Linked DNA regions of Saccharomyces cerevisiae S288C. The gene in region 2 interacts genetically with the main gene of each other region. Each region holds a gene or a part of one and is shown on either strand. Other genes may lie near its edges.

What was found.
Region 1: mutations in MSC1 (region 2) and ERV29 together harm fitness more than expected from each alone (negative genetic interaction), as found in Saccharomyces cerevisiae (3 studies listed by BioGRID, with this or other methods).
Region 3: mutations in MSC1 (region 2) and BRE2 together harm fitness more than expected from each alone (negative genetic interaction), as found in Saccharomyces cerevisiae (3 studies listed by BioGRID).
Region 4: mutations in MSC1 (region 2) and PBS2 together harm fitness more than expected from each alone (negative genetic interaction), as found in Saccharomyces cerevisiae (3 studies listed by BioGRID).

The regions. Positions count from the first base shown.
Region 1 is NC_001139.9:1,059,678-1,064,023, reverse strand, and holds ERV29 (protein ERV29), read left to right. Parts: upstream 1-2,433; coding exon 2,434-3,366; downstream 3,367-4,346. Other genes in the region: BIO2 (biotin synthase), read left to right, coding at 1-211; ZUO1 (zuotin), read left to right, coding at 871-2,172; UPA1 (putative methyltransferase), read left to right, coding at 3,984-4,346. UniProt on the Saccharomyces cerevisiae protein: Constituent of COPII-coated endoplasmic reticulum-derived transport vesicles. Required for efficient transport of a subset of secretory proteins to the Golgi. The C-terminal di-lysine motif is required for exit from the endoplasmic reticulum.
Region 2 is NC_001145.3:14,635-18,229, forward strand, and holds MSC1 (double-strand break repair enhancer MSC1), read right to left. Parts: upstream 2,043-3,595; coding exon 501-2,042; downstream 1-500. Other genes in the region: COX14 (Cox14p), read right to left, coding at 1-119; RSC9 (Rsc9p), read left to right, coding at 2,430-3,595.
Region 3 is NC_001144.5:173,065-177,817, reverse strand, and holds BRE2 (Bre2p), read right to left. Parts: upstream 2,592-4,753; coding exon 1,074-2,591; downstream 1-1,073. Other genes in the region: MEU1 (S-methyl-5-thioadenosine phosphorylase), read right to left, coding at 1-210; PML1 (Pml1p), read left to right, coding at 402-1,016; PPR1 (Ppr1p), read left to right, coding at 2,836-4,753. UniProt on the Saccharomyces cerevisiae protein: Component of the Set1C/COMPASS complex that specifically mono-, di- and trimethylates histone H3 to form H3K4me1/2/3, which subsequently plays a role in telomere length maintenance and transcription elongation regulation.
Region 4 is NC_001142.9:177,030-182,052, reverse strand, and holds PBS2 (mitogen-activated protein kinase kinase PBS2), read left to right. Parts: upstream 1-1,949; coding exon 1,950-3,956; downstream 3,957-5,023. Other genes in the region: MCO6 (Mco6p), read left to right, coding at 344-502; TRK1 (Trk1p), read left to right, coding at 4,747-5,023. UniProt on the Saccharomyces cerevisiae protein: Kinase involved in a signal transduction pathway that is activated by changes in the osmolarity of the extracellular environment. Activates the MAP kinase HOG1 by concomitant phosphorylation at 'Thr-174' and 'Tyr-176'.

The DNA.
Region 1 (4,346 bases), on a different chromosome or scaffold from region 2:
AGTTATGCCAAAGGCCATTATAAGACTTGCCGCTGGTCGTTATACAATGAAAGAAACAGAGCAATTTGTCTGTTTCATGGCAGGTTGTAACAGTATCTTCACCGGTAAGAAAATGCTGACGACAATGTGTAACGGTTGGGACGAAGACAAGGCAATGTTGGCTAAATGGGGATTGCAACCTATGGAGGCATTTAAGTACGACAGATCTTGAAGATAGGGATATGTGGATAATTCTACGATTCTAACTGTACATTTCTCCCTTATTTATTAAGAAAACCTATATATATATATATTTACCTATTTATTCTGCCATCGTTAGCTGGCGTTTTATCTTTTATGCATCCAATATCTAATATTACTTCCGATCACGCATTTAGTTCTGATTACAGCAGAAATCGTAGCGCGATGAGACATTTCATCAAATGGCCTTTTTTTTTTGGGCAATTTTTTTATATCTTGAAATGATAGTTGCCTTGTACTTTCAACCGTTCATTTCATTAAGAACTTGACTAAATATGAACATTTCTTAAAAAAAAGGTTGACATATAAAAATAATCGAATATAAACGATGGAATTTTTATAAAATTAAACACATATATATATATATATTAACTATAAATATGTCAAAGAAACCATACAATCATAGATTTATAACTATCTTTTGGATGACATTAATGAACATAACGCTCCTAATACAAATGTCCAAAAAATATTACCCGCAAATACGAATCTTTTTTTTTTCTCGATGAAATTTTGCAAAGAGTTCGAAATTTTTATTTCAAGAGCTGGTAGAGAAAATTTCATAAGGTTTTCCTACCGATGCTTTTATAAAATCTTCGTTTTGTCTCACATATACCAACAAGAGTAACGATGTTTTCTTTACCTACCCTAACCTCAGACATCACTGTTGAAGTCAACAGTTCCGCTACCAAAACCCCATTCGTCCGTCGTCCGGTCGAACCGGTTGGTAAGTTCTTTTTGCAACATGCTCAAAGAACTTTGAGAAACCACACCTGGTCTGAATTTGAAAGAATTGAAGCTGAAAAGAACGTCAAAACCGTTGATGAATCCAATGTCGACCCAGATGAGTTGTTATTCGACACTGAATTGGCCGATGAAGATTTACTGACTCATGATGCTAGAGACTGGAAAACTGCCGATTTGTATGCTGCTATGGGTTTGTCTAAGTTGCGTTTCAGAGCTACTGAAAGTCAAATCATCAAGGCTCACAGAAAACAAGTTGTCAAGTACCATCCAGACAAGCAATCTGCTGCTGGTGGTAGTTTGGACCAAGATGGCTTTTTCAAGATTATTCAAAAGGCCTTTGAAACTTTGACTGATTCCAACAAGAGAGCTCAGTACGACTCATGTGATTTTGTTGCCGATGTTCCTCCTCCAAAGAAGGGTACCGATTATGACTTTTATGAAGCTTGGGGCCCCGTTTTCGAAGCTGAAGCTCGTTTTTCTAAGAAGACTCCTATTCCTTCTCTAGGTAACAAAGATTCTTCCAAGAAGGAAGTTGAACAATTCTATGCTTTCTGGCACAGATTTGACTCCTGGAGAACCTTTGAGTTCTTGGACGAAGATGTCCCAGATGACTCTTCTAACAGAGACCACAAGCGTTACATTGAAAGAAAGAACAAGGCCGCAAGAGACAAGAAGAAGACTGCTGATAACGCTAGATTGGTCAAACTTGTTGAAAGAGCTGTCAGTGAAGATCCCCGTATCAAAATGTTCAAAGAAGAAGAGAAGAAGGAAAAGGAAAGAAGAAAATGGGAAAGAGAAGCCGGTGCCAGAGCTGAAGCTGAAGCTAAGGCCAAGGCCGAAGCTGAAGCGAAGGCTAAAGCTGAATCTGAAGCCAAGGCTAACGCCTCCGCAAAAGCTGACAAAAAGAAGGCTAAGGAAGCTGCTAAGGCCGCCAAGAAAAAGAACAAGAGAGCCATCCGTAACTCTGCTAAGGAAGCTGACTACTTTGGTGATGCTGACAAGGCCACCACGATTGACGAACAAGTTGGTTTGATCGTTGACAGTTTGAATGACGAAGAGTTAGTGTCCACCGCCGATAAGATCAAGGCCAATGCTGCTGGTGCCAAGGAAGTTTTGAAGGAATCTGCAAAGACTATTGTCGATTCTGGCAAACTACCATCCAGCTTGTTGTCCTACTTCGTGTGAATACCGTAAGAAATGGAATAGAATATATACGAATGTATACGAATATTATAGAGAACGTTCTCTTTTATTTCTATAATGAATAGGTTCGGGTAACGGTTCCCTTTTTAGGTATTTCTAGAAGATGAGAGAAGAGGGAATAATGAGAAAGGCGAAAAATAAAGGACACCTTTAACGAAAGATCAAAGGTGTCCTTATTTACTTACAATAGCTGCAATTAGTACGACTCAAAAAAAGTGAAAACAAAACTGAAAGGATAGATCAATGTCTTACAGAGGACCTATTGGAAATTTTGGCGGTATGCCAATGTCATCATCGCAAGGACCATACTCTGGCGGTGCACAATTCAGATCAAACCAGAACCAATCCACTTCTGGCATCTTAAAGCAATGGAAGCATTCTTTTGAAAAGTTTGCCTCCAGAATTGAGGGGCTCACTGACAATGCAGTTGTTTATAAATTGAAGCCTTACATTCCAAGTTTGTCAAGATTTTTCATTGTGGCCACCTTTTATGAAGATTCGTTTAGGATCTTATCACAATGGTCAGATCAAATTTTTTATCTGAATAAGTGGAAGCATTACCCATACTTCTTTGTCGTTGTGTTTCTAGTGGTTGTTACCGTTTCCATGTTGATTGGCGCCAGTTTGTTAGTTTTAAGAAAGCAAACCAATTATGCCACCGGTGTGTTATGTGCTTGCGTTATTTCTCAAGCATTAGTTTATGGGTTGTTTACGGGTTCATCATTTGTCCTAAGAAACTTTAGTGTTATTGGTGGGTTGTTAATTGCATTCAGCGATTCAATTGTTCAAAACAAGACAACATTCGGTATGCTTCCTGAATTAAACAGCAAAAACGACAAAGCGAAGGGTTACCTGTTGTTTGCTGGTAGAATTTTAATTGTTTTAATGTTTATCGCTTTCACTTTCAGTAAATCATGGTTTACTGTTGTTTTGACCATTATCGGCACAATATGTTTCGCCATTGGTTACAAGACAAAATTCGCATCCATTATGTTGGGTTTGATACTAACTTTTTACAATATCACGCTAAACAACTACTGGTTTTATAACAATACTAAGAGAGATTTCTTGAAGTATGAGTTTTACCAGAACTTAAGCATCATTGGTGGGCTTCTATTAGTTACTAATACTGGCGCTGGTGAATTATCCGTTGATGAAAAGAAGAAGATTTACTAGATTGTAAAGGAAATCTTTTCTTTATGTCCCTTCTGTTCACTCATCTTCTAACAATCTATTTCGTTTTGCCTTCTTGTGATCGCTTTCAATACCCTGCTAGCTCACATATATACTTTTCTTACTGTCATATCTACATAAAAGATTTCTTTTTGTATAGGCGCACTTAACGAAATTTGATTGGTCTCACGTTGGCTTGTATATTCTACCTTCAATCAATGTGGTTATATCGCACAGAATTCCCTTGTATTATGATAGAACTTATTTATTGTAATTAGTTTTGATTTGACCATTTTCGTTGGTCCGTAATTGTTTTACACTGTCACTGCTTAAATCATTGAAGAGATGCTCTTGAGATAGCATCCGCTCTCCTATCTTTCCAAAGAAACGCTTTAAAGTCGCTTTAAGCAATCTCTAAAGTTTAAAAATTCCTAATAAATAGCTCTTTAGCAACTATTGTAAACCGCAATAATGGGCACACCCAAACATATTATTTGAAATTTTTTCCACCTCATCGCTTGAAAACACCATGTTGAAATTGGGATATTAAGTAGAGGAGGTAATTGATACCAATGAGGTGAAACACATCTACCAAGGGAAGTGTAGCATAATAGGGGAAGATGGCAGTAAAACATAAATCCGAGAGCCTTAAGCACGAAGAGGGGGCTGCCAAAAAGGCAAAGACAGGCCTATTGAAGCTAAAAAAAATCATGGATATAGAATCTAATGTGGTCAAATATTCCATATGCATACCGACAACTGTTATCGACAATTGTAATAATTTGGAGCAAGTTACATTTACTGCATATCAAATAGCTCGGACAGCTGTATTGTTCAATGTTCAAGAAATCATAGTTCTAGACCAGTCAAAAGATAAAAAGCATGAAAAAAAATCAAGATCAAAGGAGACTATCTCTGATTGTTTATTACTTGCCACACTATTACAATATTTTGTAACGCCTCCAAACTTACTGGATACTACA
Region 2 (3,595 bases):
TTCATGTATAAAGTGTAAGCTAAGCCACCCGACATGTATAACGTACCACCAACCAACGTCAGTACCGTTAGACGATGTAATGTATCTGTAACTCTGGTATACCAAGCGTATTTGGACATGACTATCTGCGTTCTATTTTTTGTTCTCTTCCTCTCACCATTGCCAAACCGCTGTATAGATTTATGCTCCTTTCAATGCATTTATTCTGATCCTCTCCGATTTCGTATACCGGGTAACATTAATCGCAAGGAAGGAGAAGCAAAGCTCAGAAGTAAGGAAGAACTTCGAAATCTGCTTCCGAGAGTGAGGAAATAGTGTTTTCTAAAGAGTGTATTTCACAGTATGTAACATTATAAAGACAAAATACTTACTTAAGCAAAGTTATATAGAAGTGACAACGTGTTTTTTCGTTTTGCTATTAGCTTGTCCATTTTACGGTAAAATATACGGATGAAAAGAAAAATTGGGGAGAAAAGTACATTACGTTGACACCCCAATCATTAGTTGAACCCTAATATGCTTTTCGACCAGTTTTTAACGTTATGTAGGTACCTCTTGTAAGCAGGCTCCTTAACAGTGCCGAACAACCATTGCGTATTCTGCTTGGCCAAGTTGATTAAGTCGTCCTTCGTAGAAGTCTGTTTAACCGGAACACCGAATGATTTTAGGTACTGCAATAGGTCTTCTTGAGACCAGCTCTGAAAGGTATTTGACCAGGTCTTAGCGATTTGGTCCTTAGCATCATTTGTGTTTTTGGAAACCTTGTCAAAATCCTGCATAATTGTGGAGTAAGTCTGAGAATCTTGGAAGTCGTCCTTTTTGTCAGCAAACCAACCCTTTATGTCATCCAAAGACCAGTTACTGTTGTCAAAGTATTTTTGGTAGTCTTTTGGCAGGATCTTGAGTTTTTCGTTTCTGGATTTTTTGACTAATTCTCTCAATTGATGTTCAGTAGACAGCATTGAGTACTTAATACCACGAGCATCTAAAAACATTTTCAATTTGTCCTTTGGCCAAGAGTCTAGGCCAACCAAAAAAGTATCATTGATCACATTGTCAGTCTTACCTCTGAACTTGGAGTACAAATTTGTGAGGAAATTTTTAGAAGAGTCCCAAACGGAACCAACGTATTCTGGGGTCTTGGTCAAAAATGGAGAAGACTCTCTTTTCATATAGTCCAGGTACCAGTAGATATCATCTTTCAAATTGGCAGAATTTTCTTTGGCCATTCTAACCAAATAGTCGTGTTTCTTGGCCATGTTCTTGTCAATATTGACCTTGTGGCTCTCCAACCAATTGGTTAACTGATCACTAGACCACTTGTCAAATACAGTGTCTTTTATTTGTCCCGATGTGTCTAATATTTGTTGGTGAGCCAAATCCAAGCTTTCTAGCAAACCCAGACGCTGCTGTTCTGCCTTTTCTGAAGTTCGGTAGATGTTTTCCTTGACTTTCTGAACTAGCTCGTCCTTGCTTTGAACTGCCTTGTCGTAGTCGATACCATTGTCATTCAACCAGTTTTGCAAATCTTTGGTTGACCAGCTATCAAAGTAAGAGCTAGAAGGATAGTATCCCGACGACTTCAAAGATTTGGAAATCTTGTTGAAGTTCTCCTTAGCAGTCTTCACCAGCGAGTCCTTGGAAGCCTTAGCGTCGTCAACATCCACGCCGTTTTTCTTCAAGAAGTTACGTAGACTGTCTGTGGACCAGGTGTCAAAGAGCCAGTCAGAAACTGGGTGATCCGAAGAACCAGTATAACCAAACCATCCGGGGTTACTGTTGCTCACGCTACTGCTGTCACTAGACCACACCTGCCACCATGGTTTGGGCTGCGCGTGTTTGTCCCATACCTGCGATGCCTCCGTTTTCAAGTCCTCAATGGAGTCTGTAGCGTACTTTTCCAAGCTCTTCTTATTATCACGTAAATAATCGGCCAGGTCTTCCTGCGTCCACTTGTCGAACACTGAATCTGAATTGGCCAACACTAAGCCAATAAGCACAAATGATGCGGAAACCGCATTAACCAACTTGAATTGCTTCATCTTCTTCTCTTAATTAACAGTTCTTTTGTAGTTGTCTCCTCTTCTATTGCAGATCCTCTTCTAAACTCCGGTAATCTAATCATGCTAGGAATACGACTCCATGAGTGGCTTTAAATACCCTGTCGATCCCCTTTCACCGCCTCCTTGTTTCCTCCCTCTCCCTTATTTTCCTTCAGTTCCAAAGATCCCTTATTCTTCCCCTCTAAGGTGAGGCCGGCGTAATGCTGTTGCTTACCGACGTAATGGTGGAAAAGGTGAAAAAAGTGAAAATAGTGATATTCTTAGAGAAAAACGAAAACAACAAGTCGTGTCAAGAGGTAGTGTTTTGGGAAAGACGTCATAGAGAAAGGCAGAAAGCTTGTAAAGAAGTGGAAATAAAGATTGAAGATGAACTCGTTAGCTTCAAACACACCGCTAAATGGTACTCCAGTAAGCGAGGCACCCGCCACAAGCTCCGAGCCTGTGAACATGTTCGAGACAATGGTGGCTAACCCTATTAAAGTGTCTCGATTACAGTCTAATGGAGTTCTGACGGGACCTGCAGCCAATACTAAGTCCATCCACTATTCGCTGGCCAATTTTAATGTGTTCCAGTCGCTACCCAAGGAAACGGCCAGAGGTGTAGACGATTTGACGAGGATGGAGATGGCGTTACTGAGTGGGATACCGGAGGAGATTAAGTGGTCTTTAAAAAAATATCTTACGTATAGTAACAAGGCGCCATATATGATCAGCTTACGGACATTGCCGGACCTGTTGCCACTTTTCAAGACTTTCATATTGCCTTTGGAGCGCATCGTGGAAGGTCTTAACAAATCGTCTATATGTGATTCAAAGGCGATGGATTCTCTACAAATGGGTCTAAATGCCTTGCTGATCCTAAGGAATCTGGCTCAAGATACTGATTCGGTGCAGATACTAGTCAAGGATCGAGAAATCAAATCTTTCATTCTTTTCATTTTGAAGAAGTTTCAGTGCGTCGCTACAGGCGATAACAAGTGGCAATTGTACGAAGGAAATGCAACTTTTTTTAACGAGTTGACCCATTATACTCTGGACTTGATGGAGGCCATTTCGTCCTATATTGCTCCTGCAATGAAGGATGATCATTATTTCCAAACGCTGGTGTCCATCTTGAACTACACTAAGGACAGATACATGGTTATTTCTATATTGAGGTCTCTTTCAAGATTACTGGTTAGGTCCAAAGCTAACGAGGAAAGTGCAGCGGACAATTTGGACCATAAGACTCTTTCGTTGATCGTTTCCTTTTTACTGTTAGAATGCGATAGTGAGCTGATTATTGCTTCGTTGGATTTCCTCTATCAATACATTTTGCCCGGTTCTCAAAGAATCACTGAGTTATTCAAGAGTAAGGAGTGCTCTTTGATACTGGAAGCCACGCTGCCTAATTTATTATCATATAATATCGCCACACCAGATTACCATCTTTTGCAAAAGCACAAAATTAGGTTGATTAAAAGGTTGAAGCCTCCCGCTCCAAAGGAGCCTCCCAATTTATCTGAGGATCTGTTTCAACAACTTTTCAAACT
Region 3 (4,753 bases), on a different chromosome or scaffold from region 2:
TGTGACAGGAGACGATGTGGTACCCCATGGTGTTACCATGGGTGGAAGCAAAGCGATGGGCTCCAGACAGTCAAGGTTATATAAACCTGTACCACCAATAATCCCTAAATCAACAGTTCCTTCGAATATGCTCGGTAATTCTGAGTTCGTCATAACTTTGCTTAGTTTTAATCTCTTAGCAACAGAAAATGTATTCTTAATCCTGTTCATTTAATCTCATCTCATCTCGAAATAGTTTTTTTTCATTCACACGTTCATCTTTTTTCATTTTTCTTTTTCTTTTTTTTGCTTTCTTTTCACATAATTGACAATAAAGGCGTCCTACAATAGAAGCCTTGGTATAACGTAAAAGCCACAGCAAGCATGGTGTACTTCATTTCCGACTCCATTTGCGTATAGACATGTTTCACAGACGCAAAAGACCTTATAACACCAGAAATTATGGCCATGATGACAAGAAATTCAAATCGCAGTACATCGATATTATGCCAGACTTCAGCCCTTCCGGTCTGTTAGAGCTGGAGTCGAATAACAAAGAAGGTATAGCTTTAAAACATGTGGAGCCGCAGGACGCTATTTCTCCAGATAACTACATGGATATGCTAGGACTGGAGGCGCGAGATAGGACTATGTATGAACTAGTGATATACAGAAAGAATGACAAGGATAAAGGACCGTGGAAAAGATACGATTTGAACGGCAGGAGCTGTTATTTAGTCGGTCGTGAACTGGGCCACAGTCTGGATACAGATCTCGACGATAGAACGGAGATCGTTGTCGCAGACATTGGTATACCCGAAGAAACATCCTCAAAGCAGCACTGCGTCATCCAGTTCAGGAACGTTCGTGGCATTTTGAAATGTTATGTAATGGATTTGGATTCGTCCAATGGGACATGTTTGAACAACGTTGTAATTCCTGGAGCGAGATATATAGAGCTACGAAGTGGTGACGTCCTTACACTTTCAGAATTTGAAGAAGATAACGATTACGAACTCATCTTCATGAATGTATAACCATATATAAGAAACACACTTTCAGTGTGTTTTAATTATTCTTCTTTGAATGCTGCTTTATTGCTGTAGGGCAATTTGCTCCAACTCATCGATTATATCCCATACTATGTCTTCAGCTATCTGTTCTTTGTACAATGTATCCAGTGTGTTAACTTTTGAATTCCCGTCAACACAGTAAGCTGATCGGATTTGATCGAGGTACTCCAATTTATCTTCTTCACTAATTATCCTCGCTGTTCCACCGTTAAAACAGCTGATTGTTGGATAGTAACCCAGTTTGTTATTATTTACGTATTTGTTTCTGAGTATCAATCCCTTCTTTTTCTTTTGTTGCTGCTTTTTCTTTTTGGCACTGGTTGTGTTTTTATCATTGGACTCATCACGAGCTTCACCATGTTGCCAATATCCAAGATAGAACTTTTCATTGTATTGTAACTCACTGAACGGTGGTAACAACGGCTTTAAATTTTCAAATGCTTTGCCTAGGTACTTACCATTTTGAAAGATAGCAAGATATGAATCCTCTAACTGGTAATAGTCTTGCCTTTCCCTCTTATCAGAAGAATAATATTCCGGTTTCGTTGTCTTTACATAGTCCGTTGCCTCAAAGAACAACTGGTTCTTATACCTGATGGCGATTTGATCGCGGACGACGTCGTTATATTCAATATCTTCTAATAGCGCCCTTTGAAATTCTTTGTTCGTTGTCTCTTGTTTTAATTTTTTCCTTGAAGGCCCATTCTCAGCATCTTCTCTCCATGGTTCATTCATCGTATCCATATGGGAGTTCAGTGCAAAAATTCTTCTTTTGGTAAACTCCTTAGCTTGTTTGATTTGTGTATGAATGCTAGGAAGACTCAGTAGAAATCCGATTTTATCACCCTCTTTCAATGGCGAACCATTTTCTAGGACGCAATTCAATTTTCCTTCGTGGATAGATTCTAACGAAATGTCTCTAATACCATACCCGTACACATCAAACCCTACGGGAGCCTCTAAACTGGCCTCTCTTCTGCAAACTCCAAATCGTAGATGCGGGGTGTCATTCACTTGTTTGTGCATTTTTTCGTATATGCCACTTTGTACTTCGTCTACTGAATCATCAGCATTTTCCTTATTATTAACACCGTCTGCGAATTTCTTGTTTCCTCCACGAATTACCTCCACTTCCCAATACGTCATTCCTTCTTTAATACACACATCGCTTCTTGCAGTTCTCCAACCGTATTGATCCGGGACACTTACCAGATCATTTCCATCTCGACTAATTGACAACCCTTCAGATCTGTCCATGACGCTCATTCCAGAGTGGTCAAATGGGTATTCTGTACAGCCATACCCCAAAATAGTGAAAAAGGGATTTGCGGAACACGGTCTGTACACAAAATGTCTTCGATTCAATGGAATATCTTCTGTGCGGACAAACTCATAACTTGTACCCTGAACCGATGACTTGATTTGGTGCGTTGCTTCCATCTGTGGTAAATTAGGTCTCTTCCCTTCTTGCTGACCCTGGAGAGCATTCTTGTAAACAATATCAGTACCTTCCTGGTAAGGTATAATACCCAACTTCATTATTAAGGAAGTGAATTATTTGTCTTCGTCCAATTATGGCCACCTTTATCGCTGATATCCTTTGTCTACATCCTTTTTAAACTATAATCACAGATTCTCTATTTTTTTCTTTTACCGCGATGAGCTTCATAAAATACTCACAATACCAAATGTGAAAAATTTTAGTAACGTAAAGTGGTTTGCTTTATTCGCACAGGAGTAACCCTTTAGAGTACATAAAACATACGAAGATGATGATTAAATCATGAAGCAGAAAAAATTTAACTCCAAAAAAAGTAATAGAACAGATTTATCAAAAAGAGGAGATTCTCCTAATATAGGAATTTCCAAATCTAGAACTGCATGTAAACGATGTCGATTGAAAAAAATTAAATGTGATCAGGAGTTTCCTAGCTGTAAGAGGTGTGCAAAATTAGAGGTACCATGTGTTTCTTTGGACCCAGCCACCGGAAAGGACGTTCCAAGATCTTACGTCTTTTTTCTGGAAGATAGATTGGCTGTCATGATGCGTGTGTTGAAAGAATATGGAGTAGATCCCACGAAAATACGAGGAAATATACCTGCTACAAGTGATGATGAACCTTTTGATTTGAAAAAGTACAGTTCAGTTTCATCTTTGGGAGAAGAGGGAATATTGCCACATAATGGCTTATTGGCGGATTATTTGGTTCAGAAAGGGAATTCTATGGCATCCTCAGCTATAACGAGCAAGTCTATGGCAAGCCCACAGACTATAAATGTACAACGCAAGGAATTTCTGGTAAACTCAAAAAAACAAGATGGTAGCGCTTTATTACCCGAGACAGGCAGCCCTATGACTTCAGATGCAAGAGCGGAAGAGCTACGCCGATGTAATAAGGAGATCAGTGCGCTGGGCACGATGAGAGAAAGTAGTTTTAACTCTTTTTTAGGAGATTCATCGGGTATTTCCTTTGCGAAATTAGTCTTCACGGCAACTAATTTTCGTCAAGATTCCGGAGATGACGTTCTGGATGAAGATATTAAACAAAGGGAACAGAAATACAATGGATATGCAGAGGCTGAAAACAATCCACACTTTGATCCATTGGAACTACCACCTCGACATGCCGCTGAAGTTATGATATCCAGGTTTTTTGTAGATACTAATTCCCAGTTACCTTTGCTGCATAGAGAACTTTTCCTGAAAAAATACTTTGAACCTATTTATGGTCCCTGGAATCCCAATATTGCATTGGCATCTGATCAGACAGGCATAAATAGCGCGTTCGAAATTCCAATTACCAGTGCTTTTAGTGCGCATACTGAACCAAAAAGGGAGAACGTTACTGAGAAGATTGACGTATGCTCTTCCGTGGATGTTCCATGGTATGACACTTGGGAGACATCTCAAAAAGTCAACATGCGTCCGATAGTTGAACTACCGACAAAATTTCACATACCTTATTTTTTTTTAAACATTATATTTGCTATTGGCCATGCTACGCAGGTACTTAAGTCAGATATTACTACTGTCGCGACATATAAGAGACGCGCTACTAAATATATTGCATCTTTATTTTCATCTTCAGACAGGTTGGAGGCATTGGCAGGCACTTTGCTCATGGTAATCTATTCAATAATGAGACCTAATGTCCCCGGTGTTTGGTATACTATGGGTTCTGTACTAAGACTAACGGTTGACCTAGGACTACATTCGGAAAAAATTAATAAAAATTATGACGCCTTTACCAGAGAAATACGCAGGCGTCTATTTTGGTGCGTTTACTCCTTAGATCGGCAAATTTGCTCGTATTTTGGTCGACCTTTTGGTATACCTGAAGAAAGCATCACCACCAGGTATCCTAGCCTTTTGGACGATTCCTTCATCACATTAACTAACCGAGAAATTGACGACTACTCAGACTTACCAAGCCCAAATCCGTCTTCAAAAGTTATCGCATTGGCCATGTATAAAATCAGAAGAATCCAAGCTAGTATAGTGAGAATACTCTACGCGCCCGGTGCAGAATTGCCGAGGAGGTTTATGGATCTCGAGAGCTGGCGGATTGAAACCTACAATGAGCTTGAGCGTTGGTTCCAAGTGGACGTTCCCAAAAACTTTGAGATGATGAATTGCAAATTTAACAGCATCTGGTTTGATCTGAACTATCATTACTCGAAGAGCATTCTTTATGGACTTT
Region 4 (5,023 bases), on a different chromosome or scaffold from region 2:
AATCCATAATCGGAGATAAATAACTAAGCTTTGTGCTGCAAAATTTTCCAGATTAGGAAACCTGATCCTCAGTGCCCTTTTAAGTACTGCTGTATCTGATGCCGTGAACGAGACACTATTGGCTGCGTGGGCACGTACCAAGTATACTCATCAAAATTTGTCTTAGGTTTTCCGATGCGGAAAATGGCAGCGCACAATTTAAATAGAAAAGGAGTTAAATGTACAGCAGCAAAATCAGTCACTCACGGAGAAAAGCTACGGTAGCGTAACGAAGAGCACATTGCTACTAGCAGCCAGCTAGATAATTGCAGCAGTGTACAGTTTACGCGACAATAAAGAAAGCATGATTTTCTTTTTCAACCAGATCCGTTCAATATTTACAGCTTTGCATACGCCAACTCAACAGATCCAATTATCAAGAAGGGCCTTTTTCCAATTCTTAGGCTATTTGGGTAGTTGTGTTGTGATTTCATTAGCAGCTCAATCGAAATACGTGCAGTAAGAAATGAAATAATGACCTGCAACAGTCCTTCTTGAGATGGAATGAAGTAATTGCTCTTTGAACGAGAGCACAAAAGCAAGCAGAAGTCGCGTATGTCAAGCCCATGATATAGCTGCTTAGATATATAGGTAGATATAAATAAGCACAATGGCTACAGTAATTGTGCGGTGCAGGGAGGCAATGTTTAGTGCATCTCCTCTACATCATTTCTATTTTTAATCTCGTCCACGAGAACGATTTAAGGAAATGGGGCTTCAAAAATAAAAAAATCAAATGAAAGTAATAATCTTTCAGCTTAGACTTATTTTTAGTTGAAACACTTGAATAAGAGTGCAGACACTCAATCGTGGTGTAGCTACAAGAACATATGGTGGCGTGTTTCTGCTGCAACTGTCAAGATCGTCTGTGTCTTAATGAGGTGATATATAGAACTGCTGAATACGGAGCCGTTTGTCTTTTACTGCGGGATTAACTTCAACAGCTACGGCCGAAGCCAATTCTGGCAAAAGGCAATGACTAAGTCTTGTTTCTCATGTAGATTACTATTTTGAGCGTGTTGCTTTTCTGTTCCCCTTGAGCATAGCAGCAGGCACGGAAGCATACAGAATATTCACTAACATGAGAACAACTCATTACTAGACTACTACCAGTTACTACACATCGATACAACTCCCCAGAAATATCACTGTTGAGAGTTCATGTCAAGACGTAGTATAGTATTGCAACAGGAAAAAAAAATCTTATTGCGTAGCACTCTGTATCTATTTTATATATCTGTTTCTATATTTGATTAATCTCTTGTTATCTTGGTGATGATCGCACAAGTATGTACTCCTGTATCTGCAAGAATATCTGTTTTAAACTTTTCAAAGCAAGGAAACCCCGTCTTATATAGGTTATCCGCAAAGGTCACATTTTCTTGCAAATAGAAGAAAAAGCACCCACAAGCACACTAACACAGTGCCAGAGCAAAACTATATCCTTTGCATCCGATCTCAAACGCTGTTCTTATCGCATCTGTCTTCGTCCTTTCATCTGCATTTACCTTTTCTTTTTCATCCTCTATTTGCCTTTTCATTAGTGGCAATTTTTCCAGTTTTTTCCCTCTGCGTCCCGTTGCACCTGAAAGGATCTTTCTAACGTGTGTTGTCTACTAGTGAGCGATTTCGTGAGCCATACACGTTCTATAGAAAATTGAATAAACTTTACTTCAAAGGGATCTGGACACAGAGATAACTGCTTACCTGCTTGCCGGAAGAAAAGAATTACTAAAAAAGAAGACAAGGGTAGCTGCTATTGTGGGTACACGTTTCACAGAACTACTTTTTCCTTGTCCTTCTCCAGACATCAACGTCATACAACTAAAACTGATAAAGTACCCGTTTTTCCGTACATTTCTATAGATACATTATTATATTAAGCAGATCGAGACGTTAATTTCTCAAAGATGGAAGACAAGTTTGCTAACCTCAGTCTCCATGAGAAAACTGGTAAGTCATCTATCCAATTAAACGAGCAAACAGGCTCAGATAATGGCTCTGCTGTCAAGAGAACATCTTCGACGTCCTCGCACTACAATAACATCAACGCTGACCTTCATGCTCGTGTAAAAGCTTTTCAAGAACAACGTGCATTGAAAAGGTCTGCCAGCGTGGGCAGTAATCAAAGCGAGCAAGACAAAGGCAGTTCACAATCACCTAAACATATTCAGCAGATTGTTAATAAGCCATTGCCGCCTCTTCCCGTAGCAGGAAGTTCTAAGGTTTCACAAAGAATGAGTAGCCAAGTCGTGCAAGCGTCCTCCAAGAGCACTCTTAAGAACGTTCTGGACAATCAAGAAACACAAAACATTACCGACGTAAATATTAACATCGATACAACCAAAATTACCGCCACAACAATTGGTGTAAATACTGGCCTACCTGCTACTGACATTACGCCGTCAGTTTCTAATACTGCATCAGCAACACATAAGGCGCAATTGCTGAATCCTAACAGAAGGGCACCAAGAAGGCCGCTTTCTACCCAGCACCCTACAAGACCAAATGTTGCCCCGCATAAGGCCCCTGCTATAATCAACACACCAAAACAAAGTTTAAGTGCCCGTCGAGGGCTCAAATTACCACCAGGAGGAATGTCATTAAAAATGCCCACTAAAACAGCTCAACAGCCGCAGCAGTTTGCCCCAAGCCCTTCAAACAAAAAACATATAGAAACCTTATCAAACAGCAAAGTTGTTGAAGGGAAAAGATCGAATCCGGGTTCTTTGATAAATGGTGTGCAAAGCACATCCACCTCATCAAGTACCGAAGGCCCACATGACACTGTAGGCACTACACCCAGAACTGGAAACAGCAACAACTCTTCAAATTCTGGTAGTAGTGGTGGTGGTGGTCTTTTCGCAAATTTCTCGAAATACGTGGATATCAAATCCGGCTCTTTGAATTTTGCAGGCAAACTATCGCTATCCTCTAAAGGAATAGATTTCAGCAATGGTTCTAGTTCGAGAATTACATTGGACGAACTAGAATTTTTGGATGAACTGGGTCATGGTAACTATGGTAACGTCTCAAAGGTACTGCATAAGCCCACAAATGTTATTATGGCGACGAAGGAAGTCCGTTTGGAGCTAGATGAGGCTAAATTTAGACAAATTTTAATGGAACTAGAAGTTTTGCATAAATGCAATTCTCCCTATATTGTGGATTTTTATGGTGCATTCTTTATTGAGGGCGCCGTCTACATGTGTATGGAATACATGGATGGTGGTTCCTTGGATAAAATATACGACGAATCATCTGAAATCGGCGGCATTGATGAACCTCAGCTAGCGTTTATTGCCAATGCTGTCATTCATGGACTAAAAGAACTCAAAGAGCAGCATAATATCATACACAGAGATGTCAAACCAACAAATATTTTATGTTCAGCCAACCAAGGCACCGTAAAGCTGTGCGATTTCGGTGTTTCTGGTAATTTGGTGGCATCTTTAGCGAAGACTAATATTGGTTGTCAGTCATACATGGCACCTGAACGAATCAAATCGTTGAATCCAGATAGAGCCACCTATACCGTACAGTCAGACATCTGGTCTTTAGGTTTAAGCATTCTGGAAATGGCACTAGGTAGATATCCGTATCCACCAGAAACATACGACAACATTTTCTCTCAATTGAGCGCTATTGTTGATGGGCCGCCACCGAGATTACCTTCAGATAAATTCAGTTCTGACGCACAAGATTTTGTTTCTTTATGTCTACAAAAGATTCCGGAAAGAAGACCTACATACGCAGCTTTAACAGAGCATCCTTGGTTAGTAAAATACAGAAACCAGGATGTCCACATGAGTGAGTATATCACTGAACGATTAGAAAGGCGCAACAAAATCTTACGGGAACGTGGTGAGAATGGTTTATCTAAAAATGTACCGGCATTACATATGGGTGGTTTATAGCGTTAATATCCAAATAAAAGCAAACAGGCACGTGAATATAACAACAAAAAAAAAGCAGACGAAAAGCTACTGTGGAAATGATGCGGCGAATACAAAAAAACCTTACATATACATATGTTTATTGTAATAAACTTGCATTATACTCGTTATAGACATATATATATATATATATTCATATATATATATCGTCTGACTTCCTTTTGTCGAACCTAAAAAAGGGCACGAATTATGACAGAGTATTGAGGGGATGTTATTTCAAGCACCGGCAAGTGAAGCGATGTGGACGTCAATATATTGTGTTATTCGATTATTGCTACGGCCATCGACTCCTCGAAATTATTTACGTTCGGGGCTGACAACGCAAGAAAGAAAAAATGCTCTGGAATTGTCTGATGGTTTTTCCGCTCTTTACGGCTCAAGGCTAGGAAAGAAAAAAAAGTCCAAAATCATCGAGAAAATAAAAGGTGTTTTGAAAGTTCAAATCCACGTTATTGAGAGTAGATGTGGAGTCTGGACCAGGAACTATACCTGTATCTTACCCTAACTTCTAAATTTTGCTACTTTCACGGAAAACAGTAAATAATTACCTATCAAGATAAAGAGCTCTTACATTATTAGAAACTTTTTGTTACTGTTGCTTTCCTTTCGCCCATTGTTTTTACCTTACCATTAGCATCACTGATTCCACACTTGTATTGCCTTAAAAAGAAGGAGGGTATTCTATTGGCTCTCAAGGAAGTCATTCCTATCCATTTTACTTAAAGTTATTACCTTTTTTTGATAACTAACAATGCATTTTAGAAGAACGATGAGTAGAGTGCCCACATTGGCATCTCTTGAAATACGATATAAAAAATCTTTCGGCCATAAATTTCGTGATTTTATTGCTCTATGTGGTCACTATTTTGCTCCAGTTAAAAAATATATCTTCCCCAGTTTTATCGCGGTTCACTACTTCTACACGATATCCCTGACATTAATAACTTCAATCCTGCTATATCCCATTAAGAATACCAGATACATTGATACATTGTTTTTAGCAGCGGGCGCAGTTACACAAGGTGGCT